7 linked regions of the Ovis aries genome follow. The protein of the gene in region 6 interacts with the protein of the main gene of each other region in a pairwise test. Links are inferred from orthologs where the notes say so. Each region holds a gene or a part of one and is shown on either strand. Other genes may lie near its edges.

Evidence for each region.
Region 1: the proteins of AGTRAP (region 6) and PBX3 interact in a two-hybrid assay, tested with the Homo sapiens proteins (4 studies listed by BioGRID). The two-hybrid records come from large-scale screens. The link is inferred for Ovis aries from reciprocal best matches to the Homo sapiens genes AGTRAP and PBX3.
Region 2: the proteins of AGTRAP (region 6) and PDHX interact in binary tests that used the Homo sapiens proteins (3 or more experiments, as listed by UniProt). The two-hybrid records come from large-scale screens. The link is inferred for Ovis aries from reciprocal best matches to the Homo sapiens genes AGTRAP and PDHX.
Region 3: the proteins of AGTRAP (region 6) and ECPAS interact in binary tests that used the Homo sapiens proteins (3 or more experiments, as listed by UniProt). The two-hybrid records come from large-scale screens. The link is inferred for Ovis aries from reciprocal best matches to the Homo sapiens genes AGTRAP and ECPAS.
Region 4: the proteins of AGTRAP (region 6) and SYT16 interact in binary tests that used the Homo sapiens proteins (3 or more experiments, as listed by UniProt). The link is inferred for Ovis aries from reciprocal best matches to the Homo sapiens genes AGTRAP and SYT16.
Region 5: the proteins of AGTRAP (region 6) and NKG7 interact in binary tests that used the Homo sapiens proteins (3 or more experiments, as listed by UniProt). The two-hybrid records come from large-scale screens. The link is inferred for Ovis aries from reciprocal best matches to the Homo sapiens genes AGTRAP and NKG7.
Region 7: the proteins of AGTRAP (region 6) and NDRG4 interact in binary tests that used the Homo sapiens proteins (3 or more experiments, as listed by UniProt). The two-hybrid records come from large-scale screens. The link is inferred for Ovis aries from reciprocal best matches to the Homo sapiens genes AGTRAP and NDRG4.

Annotation. Positions count from the first base shown.
Region 1 is NC_056056.1:10,137,761-10,141,260, forward strand, and holds part of PBX3 (pre-B-cell leukemia transcription factor 3), read right to left. Parts: intron 1,979-3,500; coding exon 1,813-1,978; intron 330-1,812; coding exon 217-329; intron 1-216. UniProt on the Homo sapiens protein: Transcriptional activator that binds the sequence 5'-ATCAATCAA-3'.
Region 2 is NC_056068.1:64,238,595-64,242,590, forward strand, and holds the start of PDHX (pyruvate dehydrogenase protein X component, mitochondrial), read left to right. Parts: upstream 1-1,196; 5' UTR 1,197-1,234; coding exon 1,235-1,394; intron 1,395-3,996. Other genes in the region: APIP (methylthioribulose-1-phosphate dehydratase), read right to left, coding at 827-1,018.
Region 3 is NC_056055.1:12,010,964-12,015,063, reverse strand, and holds the start of ECPAS (proteasome adapter and scaffold protein ECM29), read right to left. Parts: upstream 2,801-4,100; 5' UTR 2,785-2,800; coding exon 2,745-2,784; exon of another isoform or gene 2,686-2,744; intron 2,509-2,685; exon of another isoform or gene 2,453-2,508; intron 2,397-2,452; exon of another isoform or gene 1-2,396. UniProt on the Homo sapiens protein: Adapter/scaffolding protein that binds to the 26S proteasome, motor proteins and other compartment specific proteins. May couple the proteasome to different compartments including endosome, endoplasmic reticulum and centrosome.
Region 4 is NC_056060.1:72,054,817-72,058,847, reverse strand, and holds the start of SYT16 (synaptotagmin-16), read right to left. Parts: upstream 2,801-4,031; 5' UTR 2,654-2,800; intron 1-2,653. UniProt on the Homo sapiens protein: May be involved in the trafficking and exocytosis of secretory vesicles in non-neuronal tissues. Is Ca(2+)-independent.
Region 5 is NC_056067.1:57,519,990-57,523,350, reverse strand, and holds NKG7 (protein NKG7), read left to right. Parts: upstream 1-1,181; 5' UTR 1,182-1,412; coding exon 1,413-1,569; intron 1,570-1,646; coding exon 1,647-1,793; intron 1,794-1,893; coding exon 1,894-2,028; intron 2,029-2,194; coding exon 2,195-2,253; 3' UTR 2,254-2,861; downstream 2,862-3,361.
Region 6 is NC_056065.1:41,204,312-41,208,464, reverse strand, and holds the start of AGTRAP (type-1 angiotensin II receptor-associated protein), read left to right. Parts: upstream 1-1,353; 5' UTR 1,354-1,428; coding exon 1,429-1,563; exon of another isoform or gene 1,564-1,584; coding exon of another isoform or gene 1,585-1,611; intron 1,612-4,153. UniProt on the Homo sapiens protein: Appears to be a negative regulator of type-1 angiotensin II receptor-mediated signaling by regulating receptor internalization as well as mechanism of receptor desensitization such as phosphorylation.
Region 7 is NC_056067.1:25,843,264-25,847,245, forward strand, and holds the start of NDRG4 (protein NDRG4), read left to right. Parts: upstream 1-1,182; 5' UTR 1,183-1,332; coding exon 1,333-1,369; intron 1,370-3,982. UniProt on the Homo sapiens protein: Contributes to the maintenance of intracerebral BDNF levels within the normal range, which is necessary for the preservation of spatial learning and the resistance to neuronal cell death caused by ischemic stress.

The sequences.
Region 1 (3,500 bases), on a different chromosome or scaffold from region 6:
GAATGCATTCACAAAGTGTATCAAGTTTGAATCATCCAAAGTCACTGTTCACTTGACTTCTCATTCAATTAAATGGTGGGGCAGATGGGTCACATCTGGAAGCACCCAGCACAGGCTCTGCACGATGTGCAGACCACTTCCATGGGGCGAGAGGAAGGAGTTTTGAGCCCAAACCCTACCCTGCTAGAAAGGCCCCAGCTGGGGCATTTCTCCTACCTGTGATTGCACATTGGCTCCGACTTGGGACCCTTGGTAAGAATCCCCATTCAGACTCTGCATGTTCATGAACATGTCCCCAGAATTTGGGAGGTTAAAAGAACCAGAAGAACCTGGAAAGGAAAGAGTTAAGTAGCTGAATAACAGAGAGCTACACACATAATCCTCAAAGACCCAGAGGCAGGGAAAGGAGAAGAGGTAAAGAAGGGAAAGGTTGTGTACAACATAAAGCATTTCTAGATCTAAGAGGATGGAGAATAACTGCAAGTAGTGAATTTTGCATCTAGAAAAGTCTTAGTGATGGGGAAACCCAACTATGAAACAAAGGAAGAATCAAAACAGAGAAACACCCAGCAGCTGGCTTGGAACCATCCCCTTGTTTTCATTTATCTCCAGGACTTGTCATTAAGTGAGCTCTTCACCATCATTAGCTGTCATGGTGGACAATTACCCAGAGAAGAAACATTTTTCTGAAGCTTAAAAAAAAAAAATTCCTCCAAACTTTTTATTACTTATTTTTACTTTAAAAAGGTATTTATTATTTACTTGGCCATGCCAAGCAGCATGTGGGATCTTAGTTCCCCAACCAGGGATTGACCCATGCCCCTTGGAGTGGAAGGGCAGAGTCTTAACCACTAGCCCTCCAGAAAGTCCCTGAAGCTCTTTCTTAGCCATCCACTCTGCCTAACTTTCATCAATTTCCATGTTGCATTAAAAAGAACCTGGGATTGGGGTGGGGATGGAGGGAAAAAGAAGACATCAACACAAACAAAAAACCCTCCCTTTCTGAAATTTTAAAGACTATATTTAAATTATCTCCTTAGAAAAGCCCCTTGAATTGCTTCTCAAGCCCATCTGTTTGGGCTAGCTGTACGTCTTTCGTTGCTACTCAAGTTCCCTGTAATTTTAACACTTCCAATTCCATGAAAAATGCCACAAAAAGTTTGGCCAAAATGTATTGTATAAGGAGCCAAGATACTGCATCCATGTACTAACTACCATATCTCTCACAGCTAACCATGTCCTGATCAGCTAACCACGTGCTGAGCCTACCAAGTCAGCAGATAAGGACCGCAGACTCAAGTCTGCAGCCACATCAGGGAGAAAGCACTGTGGTACTAACCCCAGCATTCCAGCCTCATTATTCACAGCAACAGGTCAATTTCCCGCTTTTGCTATTTCACTCGTTCTTTGACAGACCACTATGGATTTTAAAAATGACACCACTATGGATTTTAAAATGACACATGGAACAATATAGCTAAAATAATCATTAGGGATAGAATGACACATGGAACAATATAGCTAAAATAATCATTAGGGATAGCACTGGGCCTCGTTGCTGAATTAAAAACCACTTCTAAGTGTGAAAGTTCCAGGTTCTATTGGTAGTGAGGGGCACTCACTATGAACAGTGGGTTTACAGGCCCTCTGGTCATCCACTCATTCACTGATTCCAGGAAGAAGCCTGCATTTTAATAGAATCTTTATGAATCCACTGTATCCTCAGTATGGCTCTTGTGTGCTGGCCCGTGAGGTGGGGCTGTGTGGCCTCAGGCTTTCTGAGCCGAGGAGGGAGTGAGCACCCATACGCACCAGAATTCGGCGTGGTGGGAGAGTTGGTCTGGTTGTTCTGCACGGCTGCGGCCACTGCGTGCGCAGCTGTCACGGCTGTCTTTGCGGCATAGAGGTTGGCTTCTTCCTGAAACTTGCCGATATTCTTCTTGTACCTGATTCGTTTGTTGCCAAACCAGTTGGATACCTATAAGTCACAGGGATGTGAGTAAGGGGAAGCGAGGGTCAAAGGAGGAAACAAGCAAAAATCAAATTTCTGCTACTAACTGTAGGAGCCCCGGGGGAGACCTTGGGAGACACTTGATTCTAGCCTGTGATCACATCTCGGGGATAAAGAAGAATGGTGCTGAGGCTCACTCACTCTTTTGGCAAACCTCTCAACACTCTTGGAATAAGACCATTTCTTGGAGTTACTAAAATGGCTGGAAGTGTTGTTCATCAAAAATATTCAGTTGGTATATACCAATTCATATATAAATGATTAGTCCTCCCCCCATCCCCAAAGGAGCTGAAAAATGAAAGGAAACGTTTGTTAAGTTAGGTAAATAATAAGAAACACTTGTGAAAGAATGACTTGTTCTTTTGGGGTCTGGAATAATTTTGGCAGCTGTACAGTAGAATCATGCTGAAAAGAGTAACATCAATTAATAATGGATGAAAAACCCCTTTGTCTCCCGCCTTAGAAGATACTGTACGTCTGCCAAGATGGCTGCTCAAGTTCTGCCAGTTAACATGTGAGAAGGTCACAACATGAAAACTCAAGCAATTCAATAAGGTCAAATGCAAATACAGAATCAGCAGCTGATTTCATCAGGTGGAATATATTTATTTCTTTTGCAAACTACTTATGATGTCAACCAGCACAAATGGAAGAGATTTCTTAGGAGGATCTTGGCAACAGGCAGATTTCATCACATTTCACTGACAACAAAACTTTAGCTCAAGATGCACTGCTTCTAGTTACACTGAGTGTTCAGGTACCTGGGAGCTGAGCTATATAAAGAAGAAGCTAAAACCCACACAGCAATGTATGAATAGGTACCCACTTTGCTATGTAAAAGGCTCTGACCTCTCTCTTGTTAAAGTAACAGTTTAAAAATACTTTTTAATAATTTCTTAATCATCTTTCAAAGGCGCATGCTGCAGTGGTATCAGACGGCGTGAGTCACAGTTTCATCCTGAATAGCTATTTAGGGACCCTGAGAAAAGGATAAGGAGTGAGTGATATGAACCCTCCAACCCAATTTCTACCAGTGGGCACGCTGGTTAACCATCTCTGCCAAGCCTTTAATTGCTTTGGAAATAGATCTCTCATTCTTCAAGCCATGGTGCTCATCCTTCCAGGGAAAGCTAGAGAGCCCTGGCAAGGGAGCCACATGAGGAAGACAATGTTGGCCTGCTGCTGCCCACATGCAGTCCCATCCTGGGGGGGGTCACTGTGAGCACATATGCACGTGTACACACGCCAGCACATTCGCTGAAGACCTGTGCAGTTACCATGAGTACAGGTTCAGACAGAAACAAGCCAAAACTCGTCAGGAAGCAAATATGCTGCAGATCAGGCCTTCCTAGCCATTTCTGTTCCACTGTCGTCTCCCTAACCCGCAAGGAAGGATTATGTGTCCCTTCTTTCCTTCATTTCAAACAGTGGTGGTAATAGTAACTATTCAACAAGCATCTCCTTTGCACCAAACATTACACATGGCCTT
Region 2 (3,996 bases), on a different chromosome or scaffold from region 6:
AATCTGTGTTATGTTACTTATTCACACAAGAATAGTGGTTGCCAAGAATTTCCCAATAAAACCTGCTAGGCTGTGACCCACGTTACTACTTTTTAATTGGGCCCTTCAGCCCCAGGAGAAATAAAGGAGCGAGTTGGAGGGGGGGGGGGGGGGCTTTCCCTCTCTGCCTCTTAATTAAGCAAGGCTTCTCACGTTGCAATTGTTTATTCCTCTAGATTTCCTCCGTACCCAAGGCCAAGCTCTTAATCATCACCCTGAGCACGAGGGTGTTCCAGAATAAAAGGTATGCGCAGCCCGAGGGTGGATTTTCCTCTTCTGTTTAAGGAAAAACCCTTTTTAAGGTCATTCCATAATCAATCTAATCCGAGGCAGTCAAAGAGCAACTGCGCAGAGTAAAAGTGCTGGCTACAGTCCGAAGACCTGGCTCCGCGGACGTTTTCCCACTGCCTACTGAGCGGCAAACGAAGAGCGCAGGAAAACAGCTGCAGGGGACAGTCCTAGCTCCAGTTCCACTCCAGAGCTTCGAGTTTCCCCGAAGGTCTTTTATGTTAAATGGTTTTGAAAATCACATTAAAGACGCCCAATGCTCCCCCTCAGTTATTTTTCCCTTTTCAACGTTTGGTGCCCAGCCCTCGCCGCCGAAAAATCCCAGCGCTGGAAGCAAAGCTCGCCGAGTAGGCAGGGGCCTCAAGTCCACACGCGGGGAGCAAGGGGCGGCGCACGGTGGTAGCGTCCGGTCCGGCGCAAAGCCCCACCCGGCCGGCGCCTCGCTTCGGCCGCCGCCTCGCTTCCTGGGAATAGAGGGCACCGGCGGCCCCGCCCCTACCTGCGCGCGGCACTGCCGTGAGCAACAGTCTCCCTCTGGAGCGTGAGAGCCAGACATGGCCGGGACTAGCAGCACCCGCACCTGGCAACTTCGCACGGCTCGAGCGTTCCTGGCGCTTCCCCTGGGCCAACTCAACGAGGCCCGAACTAAAATCAGGCGGCTCTGAGGGCAGCCTGGGGGCGGGGCGGACATGATGAAAGGCGGGTCTGAGAGGGCCTCTCTGACCCAACCGCGCAGCCGCCTGGTTGGGAGGCGGGGCCAGCCAGGTTGGAGGCGGGGCTAGAACTCGACTCAGAGGCGCGCTGGCCTCTAGGGGGCGTGTCCCCGGCTGGGAGGCGGGGCATGGGCGGGCCTTGATGACTGGGCGATCAGGCTGTGCTGAGGGCAGCCCAGGAGAAGGCCGGGAAGATGGCGGCCTCCTGGAGGCTAGGCTGTGACCCGCGCCTGCTGCGTTGCCTTTTGGGCTTTGGCAGTCGCAGAAGCCCAGAGCTGGTTAAGGGGGCTGCTAGGTGGTCTGTCGGCCGTGGAGCTAGTTGGAGATGGTTTCACAGTACGCAGTGGCTGCGGGGTGAGTGGCCGGGGCTTGCTCAGCTTCTCTGTAGCTGAGCAATGGGCCTGGGGCAGGGGCTTTTTGATCGAAGGCCTGCATCTGGGTGTGGAGGCGCCCGGAGCTCACCGTTCCCTAATCCTTTTTGTGGGAGAGGGTCTGCTGGCGTGGTCTAGTGCATGCCGCAAAGGGCTTTTTTGGAAGCTAGGAGAACTTAACTCCATCTCTGGCCGCCTGGTTTCTTCGTGACCTTGCCTTGGAATTTGGGTTCTGAGGCCTGTCTCAGGCCCCTTCCCAGTCATATTTCAGGTGGCTTTAGAGTTGGCTTATTGCCCAAGTTTGCTGACATTCAGACGTCATCGTTAGCTGCTTTTATTCATTTTCCTGACCCGTCTCAGTTAGGAGACCTTCGAGGCCCCTGGGATTGCTCTACGCCAGGACTGATGAAGGACCCCATTTGTAAATGTCTAGACATCATCAGACATAGGTCCGGAAGAATGTTTTAAGCAAAACATGAGCTTGAAAGAGTGAAAATTTAGGAGGGGAATCTTACGAAGGTGTCGACTTAAAGACGCAACGAAAGAGTTGTGAGTTTAAGTTTTATTCTAGGTCTTACTGAGTTTTATAGCCCGGGAGACAGACACTCAGCCCTGAGGAACTGCTCTGCAGAGGTGGGAGTTGAGGGGGGGTGGGGGCTAAGCCAGATTGCATATGAATTTTTTTGGCTAGGAAATGAATGCAGTCAAGCATATACCTTAGCAAAAATTACCGCCAATCATAACAGATATGTCATGTTAATGATTTTAATATTTATTATCTTAGTGTTTTTCTATGGATGGGGAGATGTAAGAATCTAGGGTTATTTAAATTCTTCCTGAGATGTGCTTTGAACCATCCCAGAGCCTGTTTATCCAAAGCATAGTGCTTCATCTTGAATTCCTCTCAGGTCTCACTGTTGCTGGGCAACTGCAGTGAGTTGTGAATTAACCCCTGTGGAACTGGGCAGTCGTTGAAATTCCTTAAATTTATTATAGAAAGTTGTCATTAAATAAAACACAATTCTCCCAGTATTTAATAGTTTGCAATGTAGTGTGCCAGGCATTATTTTTCTTGACAAAAGGGGCAAGTACATACTGAGCCTGATGTATAATTATTACCTGCCGATCATTCAGTCCCTCCATACCATGAATTGTAATATAAAAAATTTGGCGTAGGCATTTGCCTACATATTCTGAGCTACTTGAGGCCCAAGGGGGAAAAAAAAAGTTACATGAAGTTAATGGCATGGTGAGTGCACTGAGACTTTAAGATTTAAGGGAACAATTAAACTCCTTCAGCTTAATGTTTCATAAAATCCCTCTTGTAGCAGTGGCTTTTTTAAACTGTGTTTTAGCATTCCCTGTCCTCTCTTCCCCCAGTTTGTTAAATAATGAACTTTCCTACAGCTGCCAGAGATTCTGTCTGGGGTAGAACTCAGCAATCTACATTTTATAAACAACCTTTGGTGAATTTTCGTGTACAAAACATCAACGTTTGGTGTTTGATGGTCTACACTTTGAGATTTGCTCTCTTAGAAAACCATGGAACATTAAAAGCTCACTGTTAGGAATAACTGAGAAAGAATGTTCTTATTAAACAGATCCTTTTGAGAATCTTTGAACATTTTAAACTCTCTACTGAGAAAGGGGGCAAGTGTTGCATACTCAAAAATGTGCATGCCGTTTCAGGGATTTTGCTTAGACCCAACTTGACAGTGCTTATCTGAGGCATCATGAAATTTTACCTACCCCCCAACACACTGCGAACAACTTGTCTATCTGCTTGAACTTCATCTGTAAAGAATCCTAGGAAAGCTGTGTTAGCTTCCTGGTGCCTCCCTCTTTGATGGATACAGGGCCCGCCTCAGTGATCTAGGATTCTTTCCCTATTTCAAGATCAGTTGTTCAGTGGTGGTCCTCAGGTGTTTATCTGGTGAGCCAGTGGTTAAAGGACTTCCCCCATGGCTCAGAGGTGAAGAATCCACCTGCAGTGCAGGAGCTGCAGAAGACAGATTCGATCCCTGGGTCGGGAAGATCCTCTGGAGGAGGTCACGGCAACCCATTCTAGTATTCTTGCCTGGAGAATCCCATGGATAGAGAGAGGAGCCTAGTGGGCTACAGTCCATAGGGTCACAAAGAGTTGGACACGACTGAAGCGACTTAGCATCTACACACATACACTCACCAGTGGTTTAGACTACGCTTCCACTGCACGAGGTGTGGGTTCGATCCCTGGTCAGGGAACTAAGATCCCACATTCTGTGCAGTGTGGCCAAAAAAATAAATGAATTAAAAAAAATGCCAAAGTCATTTAAATTTTTTTGAAAAAAGGTCAGGTGTTTAGCAATTCTGATCTCTTTTTCAACCTTAATTCCCACTTACCATGCAACAACATATTCACAGGTTCTGGGGTCTGTCTACACGAAAGCTGATTACTGTATGTTATTGGATAGCTGTAGGTTATTTGGAAATCTTAGATATTTTTCCTAATGCTAAGTCAAGATTTGTCTCCTGACTTCACGTATTTTTGTTTTGCCATGATAAATATACATGACAATCCTTGAACTATTTGCTTTACAGAGCAT
Region 3 (4,100 bases), on a different chromosome or scaffold from region 6:
AGACACGACTGAGCAACTAAGCATAGAGCACACACAGCATCTACTAGTCATAAACAACAACCAGCAAATATTCAGATACTTAGCTCCTTTTTTTTTTTTACAGCCATCTCTCCTTTTATTACAGCCTTTCTGAAACTGAAAGTGATTTTAAGTTCCTTATATATATGTGCAGTATATTATGACTGTAATTTCAAGTTAAATTATTCTAAGGTATCAACTACCAAGTACTTAATCTCTCCTTAAATACAGAAACCAAGTCAACAGACATCTGTAGTCAATGACTGGGGATTTGGCCAAACAGAATGAAAAGGCAAGGACTGGAATAACTTCCTCCTAACTTTTCCAGTAGCTGCTAAAGCCAATAAATTCCTTAACCAGAAGAACTGCAAACATCTTAACAGGTACTGATGTAGAGGAGTACACACGTATAGAAATACATCAGCCACTTCAGAATGAGACCCAATTCTTCCTCCAGTTTTGTTCCCCATTCCAACTAGTAATTTATAGTTTAATGTGTTTAGTGGTATAACATGAATTCAGGCATCTAGCAGTGGAACCACTTAAAAAGTCAGACCACCTCACACTCCTTGGGATGGCTGCTATCAAAAGTACAGAAAATAACAAGCGTTGGCAAGGTTCTAGAAGAAAACTGGAGCCCTTGGTTTACTGCTGGTGGGAACATAAAATGATATAGCCACTGTGGAAAACAGGATGGCAGTTCCCAAAAAAATTAAAAATAGAATTATCATATCACACAACAATCCCACTTTGGGGTATACATACAAAAGAACTGGAAGCACAATCTCAAAGAGATACACGCACATTCATATTCATATCAGCAATAGTCACAACAGATAAAACATACCAGCGTATCTATCAACAGACAGATGAGTGGATGAGAAAATATGAAATATACCTACAACGGAATATTAGCCTTAAAAAGGAAGAAAATCCCGTCACATGCTACAGCATGGATGAACCCTAAGGATATTATGCCAGATGAAATAAGCCAGTCACAGACAAATCTTGTATGAGTCCACTTACATGAAATATCTAGAGATGTCAAAATCATAGAGACAGAAAGTAAAATAGAGGCTGTCAGGGGCTGGGAGGGGGAGGAGGAGGAGGAGGAGGGATTTAGTGAGCAGTGAACTTCAGTTTTGCAAGATGAAAAGTATTCTCAAGGTAAATGGTGGTGATGGTTGCATAACAATATGAAATGTCCTTAAGACCACTGGCCTATACAGTTAAAAATGGTTATGACGGTAAATTTCATGGTACGTTTATTTTACCACAATAACAAAAAATGGAAGAAAAAAGATCAGGGAGCTGACCTCCCCAGAAGGCCTGGTGGTGGTGCTCCAGCTTGACAATAACAGGCAAGCGACAACTCTGTGACTATCAGCCCCTGTCTATCTCTAACTACCGCAAGAGACCCAATCTACTCAGGCTCTGTATCCTAACCAGGGTCACATCAATTCTTTATTTCAGCTTCAAAATGACCAAACACCACTACTGCTAGGCCAGTTTTGTGTCAAAGCAGCAGGGAAATTTAACTCTCTAAACACGCCTCCTCTTTAAAACAAAGATAATTTCTACCTACCTGCTTTAGTAGGCTGTTACGAGGGGAAAAGTGAGATCATGCATATTAAAGTAGCTTTAAACAGCCAAAGACCAAAGAAACAGAAATTATTATTATGTGTACAACTACTTTCATATGGAAATTGAGAGAGGGGAGGCTGTAACAACAGAAACTTCCCAAGGCTTGTTACACCTGTCCCAGGTTTCATTCCATTTAAAACTCACAGCATCCCTAAATAATACCTTTCTTGTTTTTGATCATAAACTGAAGGGCAGCACGGAGAAACCCAACACTTCAACTTAAAGCTTTATATCCAAACACCCCAAAACGCAATCAGAAATTATCTTACAAGTCCTAGGAAAATTCGATTTTTTTTTTGACCCCCAGCGTGGGCCTGCGGCGCCCGGGAACTACACTTCCCACAAAGCACCGAGGCGAACCCGGGCGGCGGGCGGAGCGGCCTGTGATTCAGGGTGACCACCGCTTTCCCCGAACGTAGATCGCCGTCCCCCGGAAAACTGCAACGTTTAAGGTCAAGTGTGCACTGGCTCTCCTTTCCCAGAGCGCTGTCACCCCGAGGCTTCCCCTGCAGCTAGCGCCGCGACCCTCTCTGCCCCCCAGTCCTTCCTGCTCCACCTGAGGGTCACCGCCTATTCTTGACCTTCCGCTGATTTCCAGAGTGTCACAACACGGCACCTTCTCTCCCTCCCCGAAAGCGCTATTTCCAGAACTTGCCCCACACTTAGGACCGGAGAAATCCACGGAGAGGTCAGACGGGACGGTGGGCACAGCCCGCCACCCTGGGGCTCCGGCCGCTCCGCCAGCCCAGCCTCAGCGGGCAGGGGAGCTAGGCTTCCCCCCCAGACACACCGAGCCGAGGCGGATCGCACAGAGGGCTCCTCCCGGGGCTCCGGTTTCAATTTCGCAACGTGACGGTGCAAAGCTGAGGCCTACAAACGCCAGCGGTGGCGGCGGCGGCCCGCCCGCCCACCAGGCCCGAGCGCCCCAGCCCCCCACACGCCGCAGCCGCGGCCCGCCAGTCCGTCCGTCCAGCCCGTCCCGCCCGGCGACCCGACCCTCCCGTCCGGCCCCGGCCGCCGCACCCCCGGCCCGGCGCGGCGCTGACTCCGGCTCGCGGCCGCAGGCTTGCCGTGGCACTTACTCAGCTCGTCCTGGGAGGCGGAGGCGGCGGCCGCAGCCATGTTGCGCCGGGGAGGGAGGGAGGGGCCGGAGGGGGAGGGTGCGGACGGGCGGCGCGGGGGGCTCGCCGCTCGCGGTGCGGCGGGGGCCGGGAGCCGCCTCCGGTCGCTCGGCGTGGGCCGCGCTGCGCCCGCGAGGCCCGCCCGCCCGCCGCCGCCGCCGCCGCCGCCTGCGTCCTCCTCGCTGCACGCGTCGCTCTCCCAGTCCCCCGCGAGCTCGCGGCTGGGGCGCTCCCGCAGCCCGGCGCCTCTGCGGAGCAGCCGCCGTCGGTCGGCCGAGTCCCCCGTGCGCCCGGCCCGCGCGGCGGCTCTGCGGCTCCGCGCCGCGCTCGCCCGACTCACGCCGGTTTTATATTTAGAAAGAGCTGAGCCATCCTCCCAGCGGCCCCCCCGCCGGGCCCCTCGCGCGCCCGCCTGCCCGCCCTCGCTCGCTCGCTCGCTCGCGGCTCGTCCTGCCCACCTGCCGCCGCCCGCCCCGCGCGCGGGAGCCGGCCCCGCGTGCGCTCCCCGCGCGGACCCCGCACGCGGCGGCCTGCGCGGGCGGCCCGGCCTAGCCGCTTCCTCGCCCGCCCCTCCGCGCCCGCGCACCCTGCGGCGGCCCCGGAGCGAAACAAACGCGCGGGCCTCTGACCTGAGTCCGAGCCGGTCTCCATGCCGGGGATGCTGCGCTCGGCGCCGCGACGCGGGCGCCCAGAAGTGAGGCGAGCGGCGAGCTCGGCCCGCGGGGAGCCGCGCGCCGCCGTCCGTGAGGGGCTTGGCCGAGCTGGCCCGGGCTGCCGACCGGGGAAATCCTTGAGGCCGGGCCGGAGCTCTTTCTGTAAAGGTCTGTGGCTGTCACGTTGGCTGGTCCCGACCTGGAGAAACACGCCCGTCCAAAGGAAGAGACGTGGACTCGGAAAAGTAAAGCTGGGTTCAGAGTCGGCGGGAGGAAGCCCCGCCCTGCGCCTCCCGCCGAACTTCTCAGCCCTGCCGCTGACTCAGTCCCGGGCGAGCCCCGGCGCGGCGATCGGCCCTCGACCCTGCTCGCTGGGCTTCTTTTATACTTAAAGGCAGTCATAGCGTGTAGGTTTCTGATGCTCTTAGGAACTAGGACTACCCAGTGAGGGAAGATCACTACGCCAACTAAAAGTTCAATAAACTAGGATTTTTAAAGTTCAAATGCAAGTTTGTATGCTTACAGGAGCTGTTTTCTTACATTTTTGTTGCAATCCCTACGTTCTTTTTGGTAACCCGAGTGATTGAGTTTGAATATAGTGATTTAAACTTTACGCCTTGTTTGCCCGTGACGTCACTTAGTTAAGGCGTTTGCATAATTGCTT
Region 4 (4,031 bases), on a different chromosome or scaffold from region 6:
TTAACTTGGAGGTCAAGTAGGAGAGGCAAGAAAAGACACACTTCTATTTTTATTTTTATATCATTATGGGAGCCAACTAGGAAACTATTGAAAAACAAAGTTACTAAGTATCTGCTCTGGGTGAACATTGGTAGCTGTTATGGTGGGGTTCTGGCAGGGAGGGGGTTATGGCTGACCTCTTCATTACAGGTCTATTGGGAGAAACCAAAGTACCAGCAGGAGGCCTGGGCAGAGGGCCCAGCTCTGCAGCAGTAGCACTGAGGGGCGGTCTGGGGGTTGTAAGCCAACAATCTCATCCTCCTGCATGCATGCCCACTGAGTCACTTCAGTCACTTCCAACTCTGCAACTGTAGCCCGCCAGGCTCCTCTGTCCATGGGATTCTCCAGGCCAGAATACTGGAGTGGGTTGCCATACCCTCCTCCTCTTCCTGACCCAAGGATCGAACCCGCATCTCTTTCGTCTCCTGCATTGGCAAGTGGGTTCTTTACCACTGGTGTCACCTGGGAAGCCCCGCATCCTAAGTAAGCATTACAAAGTATGACTGCTAGATACACACAGCTTCTAGAGAAATCCCCTACAACTCCTTGACTTCAGGGCAAGCCCTGCCCATTCAGGAGCTCTGTGCCTTGCATGACAGGGTGGCTAAAAAACCTCTGAAATGTCCTCTTGGTCTCTTCTTAGCCCACATCCCAGGTTCATGCTGGATTCTGCACTCATACAAAGGGAGTCAGCAGAGGGCCAAAGAAAAGAATAGGAAATTCCAAATTACTTCCACAGGTTTCACTGTGAGTTGGGTTGAAATTTCTTTTCTTCTTTCTCAAATCCACATCCTTAGGATTTGGCGAGCAGTAGGGGAGATGCAAGTCTATTTCCAGTGTGACTATGAAGCTGTTGAGACTGATTTCATGGCCGAGGACAGCCCCATGCTGTTTTTAGCCCCACACCAGCACTCTGGGATCATGCAGATCAGAACTGCCCACGGAGCTCCCTCTCCTGCATGTGATAGCTCTCTTTAAAACGAGATTTCTGGATCAACTCTGGTGTTCCCACAAAGGGCCATTTACATAACTGAGCAAAAAAGTGCCAAGAAATAACTGCCTTAGGCTTGCGGCTTTCTAGGAGAAATGGTCAACACTTCTTTTATTATCAGACTGAAGATGTTTTAAGATTATATAATCTCTAATAATGTTCATTTTCAATGTAACAATAATCATTGACTTCTTCTGAGGACAAAAAAAAAGAGGCAAATGGGAACCAGATCTCATTCGCCTTTAAAATTATTTGCTGCTACAACTAAAATACTCTTAGTTAAACTACTCAATTTTCCTTGAACCCTTAGAGAAGGGTGAGTAGAATTAAGAGGTGTTCACTCCCTCCAGGGCCTTTCTCAGACATGATATGTTTATGACGTATGCCTACATGCCCAGAGGTTCTGTTCTTACCACTCCTGCAGGTCAGAAACACTGGGGATCAGAGCTCTTCTAACCCGTTTCCTATAGCCTTGTTGTTGGTTTAGTCACTAAGTTATGGCTGACTCCTGTGTGACTCCATTGGAAAACTGTAGCTGGCCAGGCTCCTCTGTCCATGGGATTTCCCAGGCAAAAATACTGGAGTGGATTGCCATTTCCTTTTCCAGGGGATCTTCCCAACCCAGAGATGGAACCCGCATCTCCTAAATTGGCAGGCAGATTCTTTACCGCTGTGTCATCTGGGAAGACTTTCCTATAGCCTACTCACTGCCTAAATATTTCCACTGTTTTTCTACCCAACCACAAGTCTCAATTTTCCCTCTGAGTGCTCCTATGAGAGTAACTGTTTCCATTTAAACTATGGAAGAACAAGGAACTCACCCTTGCAGGCGCCATGTAAGTGTCCACAGAGCTTCCTAGAGAGAAGGACCCAGGGCAAGCATGCAGCTCTGGACAAGAACGAGGAAGCCCAGGAACTTCATACCCAGGACTTCCTGTCACCGGCCTGTTCTAGGCACCTAACACTCTTCAGCAGGAGCTGAGTAGGGAGAAAATGGGACTGACTTTTAAGCTCTGATTACCTGGGAAACTTTTATACCTACAGGGGCCTGAGCTGTACCAAAGACCCAGTGAATCAAAATTTGGGAAGTAGGTCTCAGGTAAATTTATGTTATAAAATCTCCAAAAGAGATTCACATACACAGGTAAGGCTGTAAATCTTTGTCTGACCTTCTCAGTACCAGGACGTGGGCCCTCAGACTTCACAAAAGATCAATGTTCCTGCCTCCCTCCTTGACTTCAGACTGAAAAGTGAGGGTGCATATGTGACAACCTTCCCTCCTTGAGGTAAGAGTGAGGACACCGATAAGATATCAAACATTGCCTGCCACTCGGGTGAAAGACCATTCTCTACTCCACTCACGTGGGGCTCCATTTGCTTTCTGATTGAGAAAAATACCCAAGGGCCAGCTCCTGAAGGAAATCTGTTTTACCCCCAATTAACAGACTTTTGATTGGCACAGTTTTGAGACGATACATTAGAAACAGCAGAGAAGTTTGCTGAGTGCAAGAAAGCTAGGGGTCTAATGACCACCCTCCCTCTACTCTGCAAAGCCAAGATAAAAAGAGGGCTCATGTCAGCTCTGTTTGAACAGGAGATGGGTGAGCTCTGAAAGCAAATTACCTGGTTCCTCCAGCGGTAGCAAAGGCACAAGATACTTCTGCTCCTAAGCAACCGATGCCTTTATTTCCTGTCATTGCTCAGGCTGGAAAAATTCAGTTCCCTGTTTCCCTTACATCACCCTCCCTGCTCCCTACCTATCTGCAGAACAGAAACTTGAAATGGTGTCCTGGCCCTTCCCTGATGCTATCTCACACACAGACAAAAATTCTCCGCGAGACCCAGCCCTGTTCTTTTGGGGTATGAGGAAAGGAACACGATCTAGAACGCCATCTGTCATCCTGAAATAGCCAATAGTGGCACTATTTTTACCCAGCAATTATCAAACAAATGGAGTCATTTGAAAGAGTCACAGCTGTTCCTCTGTGTTATCTCAGTACAAATATGACACAGTGCAAGTTGATTTTGGTTTCAGCTTCGTGTCTCATGTACACCAAGCAAGTGTTAATTTCTCAACCTCCCAGAAGAACACAAGTCAAAGTGTGTACTCCACAACTGAGTCATTCGTGCAAATTAAAAATTCCTTGTTATCTTGATTATATGGGTCAGGATTTCACTAAATGAGAACATCATTCCAAAAATGAAGGCAATGAACTCCCTATTTCAGAGTTAGTGTCAGGAAATTTTTTAATCTCACAGAAACATCAAGTTTTCTCCTGGCTAAATATGACCGAAAAGAAGGATTGGTACTTTTGAAATGTGTGTGTCAGCCCTTCCAACAAAAAAGCAAAATTTTGTAAAAATCAATCCTACTTTCCTATGATTGAGCTTCATCATAAAGTCAAAGAGATGTCCTATTGAAATAAATGTCTCTAGGATACTGAACACACACATTCATACACACGTGTGTGTACACACACACACTCAGACACCCAGGCAACTCTCTCCAACATTTATTGTTCTTTTTGTCCACCTGCATCCTAACCCCCTTCCTATGGATGGAGAATTCCCAGCCTAAGGAGGCAGTGCTCTCCCACAATGAGAGTGAACATGCCGAAGACTTGCTTTCCCAGCTTCCTTGCATTGGTCAATCAATCAGACAAGCCCCAAAGTACAGAGCTCACCAGAGCTCCCTCCGGGCACAGAGATGCTACAAGAAATACGAGTCCCTGCAGCAGCAGATGCCCTTGCATGCAGGCATGGCTGCAGCAGCAGGGCTGATATGGGCATGCAGTGTTCAGTACCAAGGGCATCTGGGGTGCAAGCTGAAGCCTCTAACACTGTGCAGTAAGAGGAGTGTCCACCAGACTAGCTCCGCAGGCTGAATCCCCAGCCCACCCAGAGACCCTGTGAACCAGGCAACACCCTTTCAAACCAGCATTCTGGTTAATTGCTACAAGCAAGGACCTTAAGTTGAAGAGTTTTTTTTTCCAATGGTTTA
Region 5 (3,361 bases), on a different chromosome or scaffold from region 6:
ACAGAAGATCACAGATGGGTTCCGAGCATGTGATCATCACATGCCCTCAGCCCAGACTTCCTGAAGCCTGTCCAGCTGCTCCTCACAGGAGCCGGGTCCATCACCGCTTTCGAGATGGTGCCCCAGCTGTCCATGACCAGGATCTCCTTCCAGGAGCCTGTCCTCCCAAGCGTGTTCTCAGGAGTGACCAGTTGCCCAGGTGGTGAGGATCTAGATGGGGGGCAAACTCTGCAAACTGGAGTCTCCAGCCAAGGAAGAGGACCGGCCTCCTGCAGCCACTCTTGTTCTCCCCTTCGCCGGCTGTCCTGGGACTGTCGGCTCAGTTCCTCTTTGGGACAGCAGTCCTGTTCCAGGTCACTCCTGCTTCACAGAGATAGGGTTAGGGTCTGCGCCTCCCCGCTGGGCCGTGACACCTTCCCCTTGTGCCTGAGGTGGGGCCCAGAGCCTGACGCTGGTTGAGGTGAGGAGAGCCGGAAAGTCTTGCCCTGACATCCTTTACCCATCCCCCCTCTCCCCCTGACCACAGAAACCCCGATCCCGGCGATGAAGCCCACCAGGCTGAACGCCTTACCCTCGGCCGAGCTGTTTGTGAACTCATTTGTACCAGGATGTGGGCACGTCTTCCCCTCTGCAAACTTTCAGAACTGTGGTCACTATCTACCTTCCCCCCGGCACAAGCTCCAAGCAAGGAGCCAGGAGTCTGAGTTCAGCACCTGGAGTCTAGGCTTCTAGCACCTTCCTCATGCAGCGCCCAGCATCCTTGCCAACTGCCCCCTCTCTTTTTTCAGAGACCCTAGAATTAGGGGCCCCCACCTCCCAGAACGGAAAATTGCAGAATTACAGGAAAGCATGATGCATTCCCCCACTGTCTCCCTCTAGTCACACCTCCCCTCCCATCTAACTCACACCCCAGCCTCACTCACCGCATGCCCCCTCTGCTCACTCCTCTACCCACCTCCCATCTCTTTCTCTCACCTTTTCCAGGAAGCCCCTCTGGTGCGGAGGCCCCCAAGGGCAGCATATAGAGAGGCTTCTGTGGAGACAGACAAGTTCCAAACCAGTGACAATGTGACATCTTCAGGGCCAACCCCCGCCGCCACCGTCCAGGGTGAGGGAAACCTCAGAGAGGGGCGGGGTTGGGGGGACGGGTGTCGATGCAAGCCAGGAAGGCAGGGTGTGTCACACAGAGCAGCTGCCCTGGACAGGCTGAGACCAAACGGGCCTGACGTTGAGGAGCAAAGACCACCCCCCAGCCGCCCCTAGCGCTTGCTGGTTTCTCTTTCTTGAGACCAGAGGACCCAGGAATCTGGGGCGGAGGGGGAACAGACTTCCTCCTCTTTCAGAGACCCAGGAGGCTAGATCACCAGCCTCGTCCTTGCCACCCAGGACCCAGGAACCCAGACTTCACCCCCATGGAGCCCTGCCGGTCCCTGGCCCTCCTCACCAGCTCCCTGGGCCTGGTGTCCCTCTTAGTGGCTCTGAGCACGAATTTCTGGTTTGCAGCCCAGGGGCCCAAGTCTTCATCTCACTCAGGCCTCTGGCCCAGCAAGGATCAAGTCTCAGTAGCAGGTAAGGGCTGGGGGTGTGGTCTTGGTGCTGGGAAAAGCCTGCGGGGACGGGCAGTCAGAGGTCCCATTTCCGAGCAGGCTACATCCATGTGACGCAGAGCTTCTGCATCCTGGCCGTCCTGTGGGGCCTGATCTCCACGGCCTTTCTGGTCATGTCTTGCATCCCTTCGCTGTCTGCCCCCGGACGCGGCCCCATTGTCTCCACCTTCATGGCCTTTGCTGGAGGTGAGGACTCCGTGCTGGGCTTGGGGGCGGGGAGGAGGGGTGCTGAGGAGGGGGAGCTGCTGCAGGGGGGCTGACCCGACCCTCATGTCTCCATCCCCAGCCCTGTCCCTGATAGTGGCTATGACGGTCTACACCATTGAGCGGTGGAACCAGCCAGGAAACCCCCAGGTCCAGAGCTTCTTCGCATGGTCCTTCTACCTGGGCTGGGTTTCAACACTCCTCTTTCTCTGTACAGGTGATTGTGATTGCTGCCTGGGGAGTTCTGGGGCTGGCTTGAGGGGCTGGCTGGGGCTGGGGTGGGGGCTGGCTGGGGGAGGGGCTGGCTGGGAGGGTTGGGGCTGGCTGGGGGCTCTGAGGGAGCAGGAGAGGAGCAAGTATCTAACTTTTCTCTGCTACCCCAGGTGGCCTGAGTCTGGGTGCTCACTGCACGACCCACCGGCCTGGCTACGAGGCCATGTGAACCGCAGGATGGCCTTAGAGCTCTGTTCTCTGAAGGCATCATCAGGAATCCTGAAAGCAACAGCTGGCTCTCCTTCCAGCCAGCCTGCCCTGACTCTCAGCCTCCACAAGCTTCTTCCTTTGTAGCTTCATTCATTCAACAAAAATTTGCCGGGATCTGGTTATTCAAAGGGTCATGCAGCTACGACATAAACTGATGACATGCCAGCTCCATGGTGGGTGACGCTGGGCACCCAGAGGGGAGTCAGTCCTGCCACCCGCCCTGCCCTTCGGGAGCTCCTACCCAGTGTGGGGACCAGTCTAGGCTCAGACATGGCCTTAGGGTCCTTGTTGTCTCTCTTCTTTGTCCTTCCATCTCTTTTCTTCCCTGTGTCTTTTTTTTTTTTTTCCTTTTTGACTGCATGGCATGCAAACTTCCGGGACCAGGGATTGAACCTGCTCCCCCTGGAGCGGAAGCACAGAGTCTTAACCCCTGGGCCAACAGGGAGGTCTTCCTTGTACCTTCCTCCTTTTAGTTCTTGTCTTTTGGCTCCCTCTCTGATTTAGTCACCCTGGCGTTCATCCTTAGTCCTTGTTCATTTCATTAATAAATTCACTCCTTCGGCTGGCTTTTCCTGAGCGCATCCTTTCTGCTGGGCCTTCCACCGTAGATGCCGAGGTGACTCAGACTGGGCCCTGCCTGCCAGGGGCTCCAAGTCCCACAGGGGCAGGCAGAGCCCAGGGCTGGTATTGCAGGAGGACTGGCTGTGTCTGGGGGAGAGGTGGGATGTGGGGGTGAGCTTTCTGGGGAGAATGTGTTTAGGAACTTCTCCAGGGATGAGGAAAGGTAATGCAGGCAGAGGGACCCCAAAGTGGAGGCATGGAGAGGCTGGGAGTTCTCACAAGATGGGGAACAGCACTTTGTGGTCCACTGTCGAATGTGAGAGGGTGACAGGAAATGAGGATGGGTGAGAAGTAGCACCTCTAACCCCACAATTGACTCTCTTGAGGGTGATAGGGAGCTAAGGGTGGAGCAGGGGAGGGACAGCATCTGGTTTGGGTGCCAGAAAGCCCCCCACTCTGCACCCTCTGGAGGCCAGAAGGGGAGAGAAAAAAGACTGCAATCCAAC
Region 6 (4,153 bases):
AGTGGGCTGCCATCTACGGGGTTGCACAGAGTCGGACACGACTGAAGTGACTTAGCAGCAGCAGCAGGATCCAGGGTTTATAGGAGACATCTCTTAGAAGGAAACAATAATGTTATAATATCCACTAGTTACTGAGGAATTCCTCTTTTCTAGGTACTATGCCAGTAACAATAATTTATGATAATTAACTAATAATGAATATCAAAACAGTAGCAAGTCCTGATCAAGGGCTGTCTGCCAGGCAATGTTCTAAACATTTTTACATATTAACAAATCCTTATTAACAAATTCAAAATAACCATCCTTCAAGGAAGATACTATTATTTCTCTCATTTTACGGATCAGAAAACTGAAGCACAGAGAGGCAAAGTGACTTGCTCAAGTAGAACCAGTAAGTGGACAAAGTTAGGACTCAAACTCTTTTCTCTGGTCCAGCTAGTCCTCTGGGCTCTGAATCCCAACAATCGTGCCCAGTGTAGCTATCTGTCCGGTCTCTGAAGCTTACCAGCTCTCTGTTACTCTGGCAGATGTGCTATTCTGCTCAGGGGGCTGGACAGCTGTGTCTCCAAAAGGGACATTCAAATAGGCCAGCGGACTCCGCGACCTTGCAGAAGACCCCACTGCTGCTGCTGCTAAGGCGCCTCAGTCGTGTCCGACTCTCTGCAACCCCATAGACGGCAGCCCGCCAGGCTCCCCCGTCCCTGCGATTCTCCAGGCAAGAACACTGCAGTGGGTTGCCATTTCCTTCTCCAATGCATAAAAGTGAAAAGTGAAAGTGAAGTCGCTCAGTCGTGTCAGACTCCACACCCACCTGGAAAACTCCGCTCTTTGTATCTAGAGTCTGTATCTTGATAGGATCTTAGGACCCACCCAGCCAGTCTTTCAGGTTTCCACGTGGTCTCTCCCCTCCTGGAAATAAGAATAAGCACTCAGCGGGACAGACCCAAGGGGATCCCAACAGTCTTGAATAAGTCTTCCTTACCTTTAAAGTAAGTGTCAGTATTTTTTCTTCAAACATGAATTAGTTCATTCATCCTCAGAAGGATTCTATGAGGTAGGTAACCGTCTTCACTTTCACTGGGGAAGGAGGGAGGAGAGACTGTGCCCTCAGGGATGAGACACCAGCTGTTACCACATCTGCAGATTGTACTTGGAGGTTCCCCCAAGTTCTCCTGGCTGCAGGTGGTCCCGTCAGCCCACCTGCTGGGATTTTAACTCGGCGAGATATTGCGCCCTTTGCGACACAAATCTGGATATTCTCCAGCCGCCCGCCACCCCGCCCCCGCCCCCGCCCCCGGCCCCGCCCCCGCCCCGGCCCCGGCCCGCCCCCGCCCCCGTCCCCGGCCCCGCCCCGTAACTACCTGGGCAGTGGCGCAGTGAAGGCTCAAGCAGCACGACGCCGTCTCCTAGATACCGGGCCGTCGTCACATGACCTACTCACGTGACCCCCCCCCCACAGCCCAGCTGGGGTTGGAGCTCTGGCAAAGGGCAGCCGGCGGGGCGGGGCTGGGCAAGTTTGTTTCCCGAGTTCGGAGACCAGGAGCCCCCGCGGTTGTGGCGCAGGTGCTGTCCGGTTGGGTCGCGATGGAGCTGCCAGCCGTGAACCTGAAGGTGGCGATGGGCGGGGCGGGTCTCCCGGAGCGTGTTGGGTATTTGCGCTTTTAGTAGGTGATTTTAGAGGTGAGGATTTTAGAGGTAGAGGACCGAGAATCTGGGGAAAGTGGAGTGGTGGGGAGAAAGAGAACGAACAGAGCCCAGGTGTAAGGAGGTGGGCGGACAGACCATACCAGGAAGACAGATCCAGAAGGCCAGCAGGAAAGACCGAGAGGGAGCTGGAGGAGGGAAGCAGCCGTCTCTTCCCTAAGACCGGTTCAGCTGGGAGCGCTGAGCCCCTGAGGCTCGCTTTGGCCTGCGCGCCCAGAATTTCTCTGGAGAAAGAGGAGAGCGTGGTGGGGAGGGACCCAAGGAGAGCCCGAGGCTGGACTTGGAGGCAGGACACCTGCCTTCCACCGAGAGAGGGGTAAAGCTTTCACCTGGACCCCCAACACTGCCCTTACCGCCTCTCTTGTTGGGAAGATCAAGTTAAGGAAATCAAATGATCCCAGACAGATGGTTTTTCAGAGTTGATAGATTCAACGTCTTTATTTCTTAAGCAACACAGACACCAATAGAATTTACTCAAAAGCAGAATCCCCCAACTTTGCACATTTAGGAAAACACTGTAGGTCGCTGGGGTGTCTTCATTTCCTGAGCTGTAAGAATGCCAAAGGCTGTTCTTCTTTTTCTCCCCGCCCTCCTCCAGCCCAGTGTTTCTTGGCTGGGTTTGCCACTGAGAGGCTGAAGCCTTTAGCTTTGGTCAGAAAGGTTTTAGCCTTGGACCAGACCTGCCATCTGCGGCCTAGGTACAGTTTCCTTTGAGATTGTATGCAGGAGTACCCTCTTATTCACCCTTGACAAAGCATTATGCACCCATGGTGTCTGGTCCTAAAGTAAGAGATAGATGACTACAGAACAATACATCATCCATATTTGGATTATTAGACATGGTCTGTGTTGTGACTTCACGTGGGCACATTTCCTTAATATTGAACACTTGCTTCAGCAGACCTCTCCGAGGCTTCCAGTCAACTGCTGCAGGGGGAGAGATGGCTGTGACAAGGGAATGGGCTTGGATTGAAGGTTTAGCAGGGAAGAAATTTACACGAGGGCAACTGAGGTTCATTGGTATCAACATTCACTCTGTTCCAGGCTGTGTGCAGTTAATGCCGACTACCTTTTCTCTGATTAGAGACTTGCCTAAAATAATTATTAAGGGGGAAGGAGGAAAGGGACAGAGGAGCAGGAACTGACGAGGGAGTGAGCCCTAATTCTTAGGGCGTCTGTGGTGTGCCGGGTTATTTATTTAGTCGTATCAACCTTCTGAGATTTTTGTAGCTGAGCCAACTTCAGCTCAGACCAGATAGGTAACTTGTCAAGGCCCCACAGAGATTAAGTGGCAGAGTCAGAATTTGAACCCATCACGGTCAGACTTCAAAGCTCTGTCTTTTCCTGGCCACCATTAGTTAGGGCCAACTTCTGCTTTGACAGTTAGTGCCCAGTGGGAGGGCTTAGTCTGTTTGTGGCTTTTTTTTTTTTTTTTTTTGGAGAAACTTTGTGGGCCTCACAGGCCACACGTGACCACAGATGTGAGCTTTGCCGGCTTTCACTGCCCACAGTGAAATAGCTGGTCCTTTCTTTGACTTGGGAAATAAAACACCATATCTCTAAGGGTCTTAGCTGCTACCAATCAGAGACAAGTAAGTGCTGAGAGGTCGTGAACAGCTAGGGTTGCCAGGTGACATTGAGGACATCCAGTTGAGTTTGAATTTCATATCAACAATGAATAACTTTTTAATCTAAGTATGAAAAGTGAAAGTCATTCAGTCGTGTCCAACTCTTTGTGACCCCAGGGACTGTACAGTCCATGGAATTCTCCAGGCCAGAATACTGGAGTGGGTAGCCTTTCCCTTCTGCAGGGGATCTTCCCAACCTAGGGATCGAACCTAGATCTCCCACATTGCAGGAGGATTCTTTACAGCTGAGCCACCAGGGAAGCCCCAGGATACTGGAGTGGGTTATCCTATCCCTTCTCCAGTGGACCTTATATCCCAGGCAATATTTGGAACAGTCTAGAAAATTATTCATTATCTGAAATTAAAGATTAACTAGGGGTTCTGTTTTTGTTGTTGTTTTTTCTGGCCTCCCACAGGAGTCTAAGTGGGCTATTCTGAGATCAGAACCCCTTGGGAGCTCAGAAAATGCCCAACCCCCCAACCCTGCACTACCCTTGCCCTCCTTTCACACATTCCTGGGGTATTGGCTCAGTGCCTGCTTGTGCCCAGCCCACCCACAGTAGGCAGTGGTGCCAGGTGAACAGAAGCAGCTGCCCCGGGCCCTCCAGGTAGTTCCTAACCCAATGCCACACATGAGGCAAGTCCTGAGCTGAAGGAACGTCATTGTGAGAGTTTAGAAAGTTCTAGACTTGGGTTCATGAGGGCTTGTGAGAAAAGGCCCTTGGGAGGAGGGTGCAGGGGGTTAGTATAGCATGAGGGTTAAGAATTCCGGAACCTGACTGCACAATAGTCAGGGACTGCCTTGTCTCGGGGCTTCCCAG
Region 7 (3,982 bases), on a different chromosome or scaffold from region 6:
CTGGAGTTACTCCCGCATGAGTTTCCCCAAGGAAACCCTCAGGCTCTGCAAACAGGCGACGACGACCCAAAGCCCCGCTGAGCACCTGGCTCTTTCAGACTCCCCCCAGGACTGTCCCCCAGCGGTTCCCAGCCAGCGACAGGGGCGGCGGAGCGGGGTGCTGTCTCCTCCGGCTCCCGGGGAATCTAAACAAAGACTAGGGCAGAGACCGCTCCCTCCCTCGGGAGCTCGACGTGGCGCGGCGACCAGGGGACGGGCGGGGCGGGCGGGGCCTCCCACCGCTCCCGGCGCACTCGGAGCAGCGGGGACCCTTCCTCCGGCCTCCTGCAGGAGGTGAGGAGCAGGCCGATCAAGCCGGGCTCTCCGCTGGGTTCGGGTGTCCGGGTGTCTAGCTTGCTGCGGGAGGCGGAAGCCGCGCGCCCAGGAACCGCCTCCCGGGTCCAGCCCCCAGGCCCGGCGCAGCACCGGGACAAGCGCCCACCCTCCCCGCGCCCTCGTGGGCACGCCCCCCGCGGCGCGCCGCCCCCGGCCCGGCCCCCGCCCGGCCCCCGCCCTCAGCAGCGGTGGCTCTGCGGAGGGGCCCCGGGTTGCCCGCACCTGCACCCGCGCGTTGGCGGCGGCGGCGCGGAGGCCTGGCTCCCCGCCTGCGCGTCTGTCTTGCTCGCGTCTCTCTAGGTGAGTCGGCAGCGCCCCGAGGCCCATCTCCCGCCACCCCCCGGCCACTGCAGCCCCGGCTGGCCCCACCGCCTCGGTGCAGCCCCCGCGCGCGACCCAGACCCGCGAGCCGGCCGCCTTGTAGCCGGGCCACACTTCGCCTAGGAGGGCGGCATCTCCTCCCCACCCCACTCCACCCCGCCAGGGCTCTTCCTCTTCGCCTTCCCGGCCCGACACGGGGACTCCCCCACCCCCACCCCGGCCAGGGCCACCGCCGCACCTCGCCCCCCGCGCCTCCCCGATCGCGACATCGGGGGCGGCAGGGCCTTTTTGTACGCGCGGCGGGCAGAGGGGCCCCCTCCCGTCGCCTCCCGGAGTGTCACCCGCGCCCACCCCGCGCTCTCTCTCCGCCTCCCGGAGTTCACCCGGACCAGGTGGCGGCGGGCGCCTTTTAGGGGTGCGCGGTCGTGCAATTGGTGGATTTTTTTAAACCGGTTTGGAGGGGGGGAGCGCGGCGTGGGGGGCGGCGAGAGCGCTCCCGGCTCCCGGCGGCTCCTCCTGCTCCGCTCCTCGCTCTCCTGCCGCTTCCCTCCTCGCCTCCCGCGCTCCTGTCCCTGGCTCCGCCGAGCGCACTCCCCCGACGCCGTAGCCGCGAGCCGGGCAGCTCCGGACGCCGAGATGAAGGTGCTCGGACACAAGATCGAGCTGCTGACAGGTATCGCCGACCCTTCCCGGCCGCCGCCCCTCGGCGCGGCCTCGCCGCCAGCTACTTTCCGAGTCGGAGCAGGAGCCGGGCGCGGTGGCGGCGGCCAGGGCTCTGGGGTGTCTCGGGTTGGCGCAGGAGGAGGGGGTGCGGACACCAGCTCATTCCTACCTTGTGCGCTGCGGGCTCCTGTGCAGAGCCGGGCCCCGGGAGAGGACTTGGGGCGGTGCCCTGCCCGGCTTTGCTCTCTGAGTCTCCGCGGTCGGCGTCGGGGTGGGTAGAGCGCTTGCTGCCGGGATGCGGTCGGGGGAGCGGCCCGCTGGAGTCAAGCTCTAGTCAGGTCTTCAAAAGAAGAAAGGGAGCTTGGAGCCCCTGCCCTTCTATCAGTGTCGATCGGTTCCCCCCAAGAAAGAAGCTCCCTGGGCTCCAATAGACTTCGGGGCTGGCGAGGGAGGGGGCTCGGATCTCCGGCTCCCTGTGGCAATCTGAGCAGCCCTCCCTGGGAGGAGAAGTTACTCGCTGGGAGTAGAGGCCAGTGACCAGGAGAATGGGGAGCCAGACTGGACCCTGATGACCAGGAACTTTCAGCCTTGGGCCCCTCTGAAGAAGTGGCCAGCCACTCTGCTGGAAACCACATCCCGGGAGCAGTGGCTGGAAGCAAAAGAGGACACTGGGTCTGCTCTGGAGAAGAGGAAGGAGACGGAGCAAGGGGTCTGAAGGGTGGAGGCACTCTCCCAGACAGGAAGGGCCAACCCTGCTGGTGGCTCCTGTGGCCTCCCCAGGGGAGACGTGCAGAGAGACCCAGACAGGAGGATGGGGGCTGGGAACAGCAGGGAGGTCCAGATGCCCCCAGGTGCCGGGCTCTGGGGTGCCCAGTCAGCGTGTCCTGCAAGGACACATGGGTTCCAGAAAATGTCCTCTGGCACCTGGGAGGTTCAGTCCCTCACCTGGAGGACCTTGCCACCGGGTGCATGGGAACAGAGGACAGGACAGGGAAGGGGGCTTGGTGTGGGGACACACTAAAGAAGCAGGTTGGAGCCTGAGGTGGGAGATAAGGGCAGGAGAGATCTGAGCGTGTGGCAGCATTTGAACTGCACCCTAAAAGACAGATTTTCTATTAATGGAGAGGGAGGCAGTGCTACAGGCTGAAGAATGGAGGGACCAGCATATGCAGAGGGCTTGGGATATGAGAGAGGCTTGAACTAAGCAGAGGCTGGAGGGCTGGAGCGTGTGTGATGGAGTGCGGGGGAGGGTTAGGTAAAGTTTGGAGTTCTGGGTATGGGTTCAAGTAACAGTGAGCCCTCCTTGGCTCAGGCCAGGCTCATAGAGAAGAGGAGATGGGCGCTGTTCCTGGAGCACTGGGAACACTGACCAAGCGTACAGAAGAGCAAGATCCGAGCCCAGTTAGCCAACAGCTCCCCCGCCAGTTCCCTGCCTATTTTCTGTGTAGAACTCGCCTGAGGCAGGCCAGTCCTCCCGACTTCAAAGGGAATTGCACAGGTGGCTGGACTTGTTAATCCCCTGGAGCAAAAGTTTTCACCACTCCGTGGGTGGGTTTTTAGAGCTCCGCACGCAGGACAGAACTCCTGGATCCTTCTCCTTTAGCCCCAGAAGGGCCTGGAGGAGGAATATTGGTGGGAGACATGTGTGGGGGCTCTGGTGGGGCTCCAGGCTTTGGGGCCCCAATACAGTGTACCCTCATCCTCTGGCTACACAGGTTAGGGCCCCTCCTCCCTCATCAGACAGACTTGCCCACTTCTCGCGGACTCTGTGCCCCGGCCAGGCTGGAACAGGGCTCCCTTGGCCACTGTCTTCAGTCCTGGGTCCCATTGCCATTTTCTCTCACCAGGCCCTGGGAGACAGGGCATGCCTCCGCTCCAGTGGTTTTCCCAGCCTTCTCTCTTTCTCCAACTCCCTCCCATCCTCTTACTGGTCTCACCAATCTGGGTTCTATCCCAGTCCCTCTGCAGGCCAGCTGCATGACCTCAGATAGGTGGCTTAACCTCTCTGACTCCAGTTTTCTCATCTTAGAGGTGAAACTGTTGACCCCTCCCTCTGTAAGCTGGGGTGGAGCTTGCTGAAATGGCACAGGAGACACTCCTGGCTGGGGCCTGGCCCCTGGTGGGCACCTCGCGGGCTTCATCTCCCCTCAGGTCCCTTGGTCTTAGCTGTCCCTGTGATGGAGAGTCCAGCTGCCCTGGCTGATTGGCCACTGGGAAGTCTGGATCTGCTTTCACCCGCTTTATCCCTGTTGCATGCATCTGTGTAAACCTGACCCATCTGCTCCACTGGCCAATGAGCAGGTCACAGGTGGTGGCTGGTTTCTTGTGGTGGCATACAGTAAGCGCTCAATAATTGTTGACTGAGCCAGGCTCAGCAGCATCTCCAGGATAATTTCACAGAGGTCTCCAACTCCCTGCCCGCACATCAGCATTAGGAAATTATTTCACTGAACCGCTGTTCAATTGATGTTTATTGAGCTGTTTATAGTTTTCACATTCTCCCATTTCATTATTGTGATCATTTTACCAGTGAGGCCAGTCTCTGCCTCATGTCAAATGGCTGAGAAGAGGTGGTGCTTTGTTTCGAACCTGAGTCCTGAGCCCTGAGCCATCCTATGCGTTT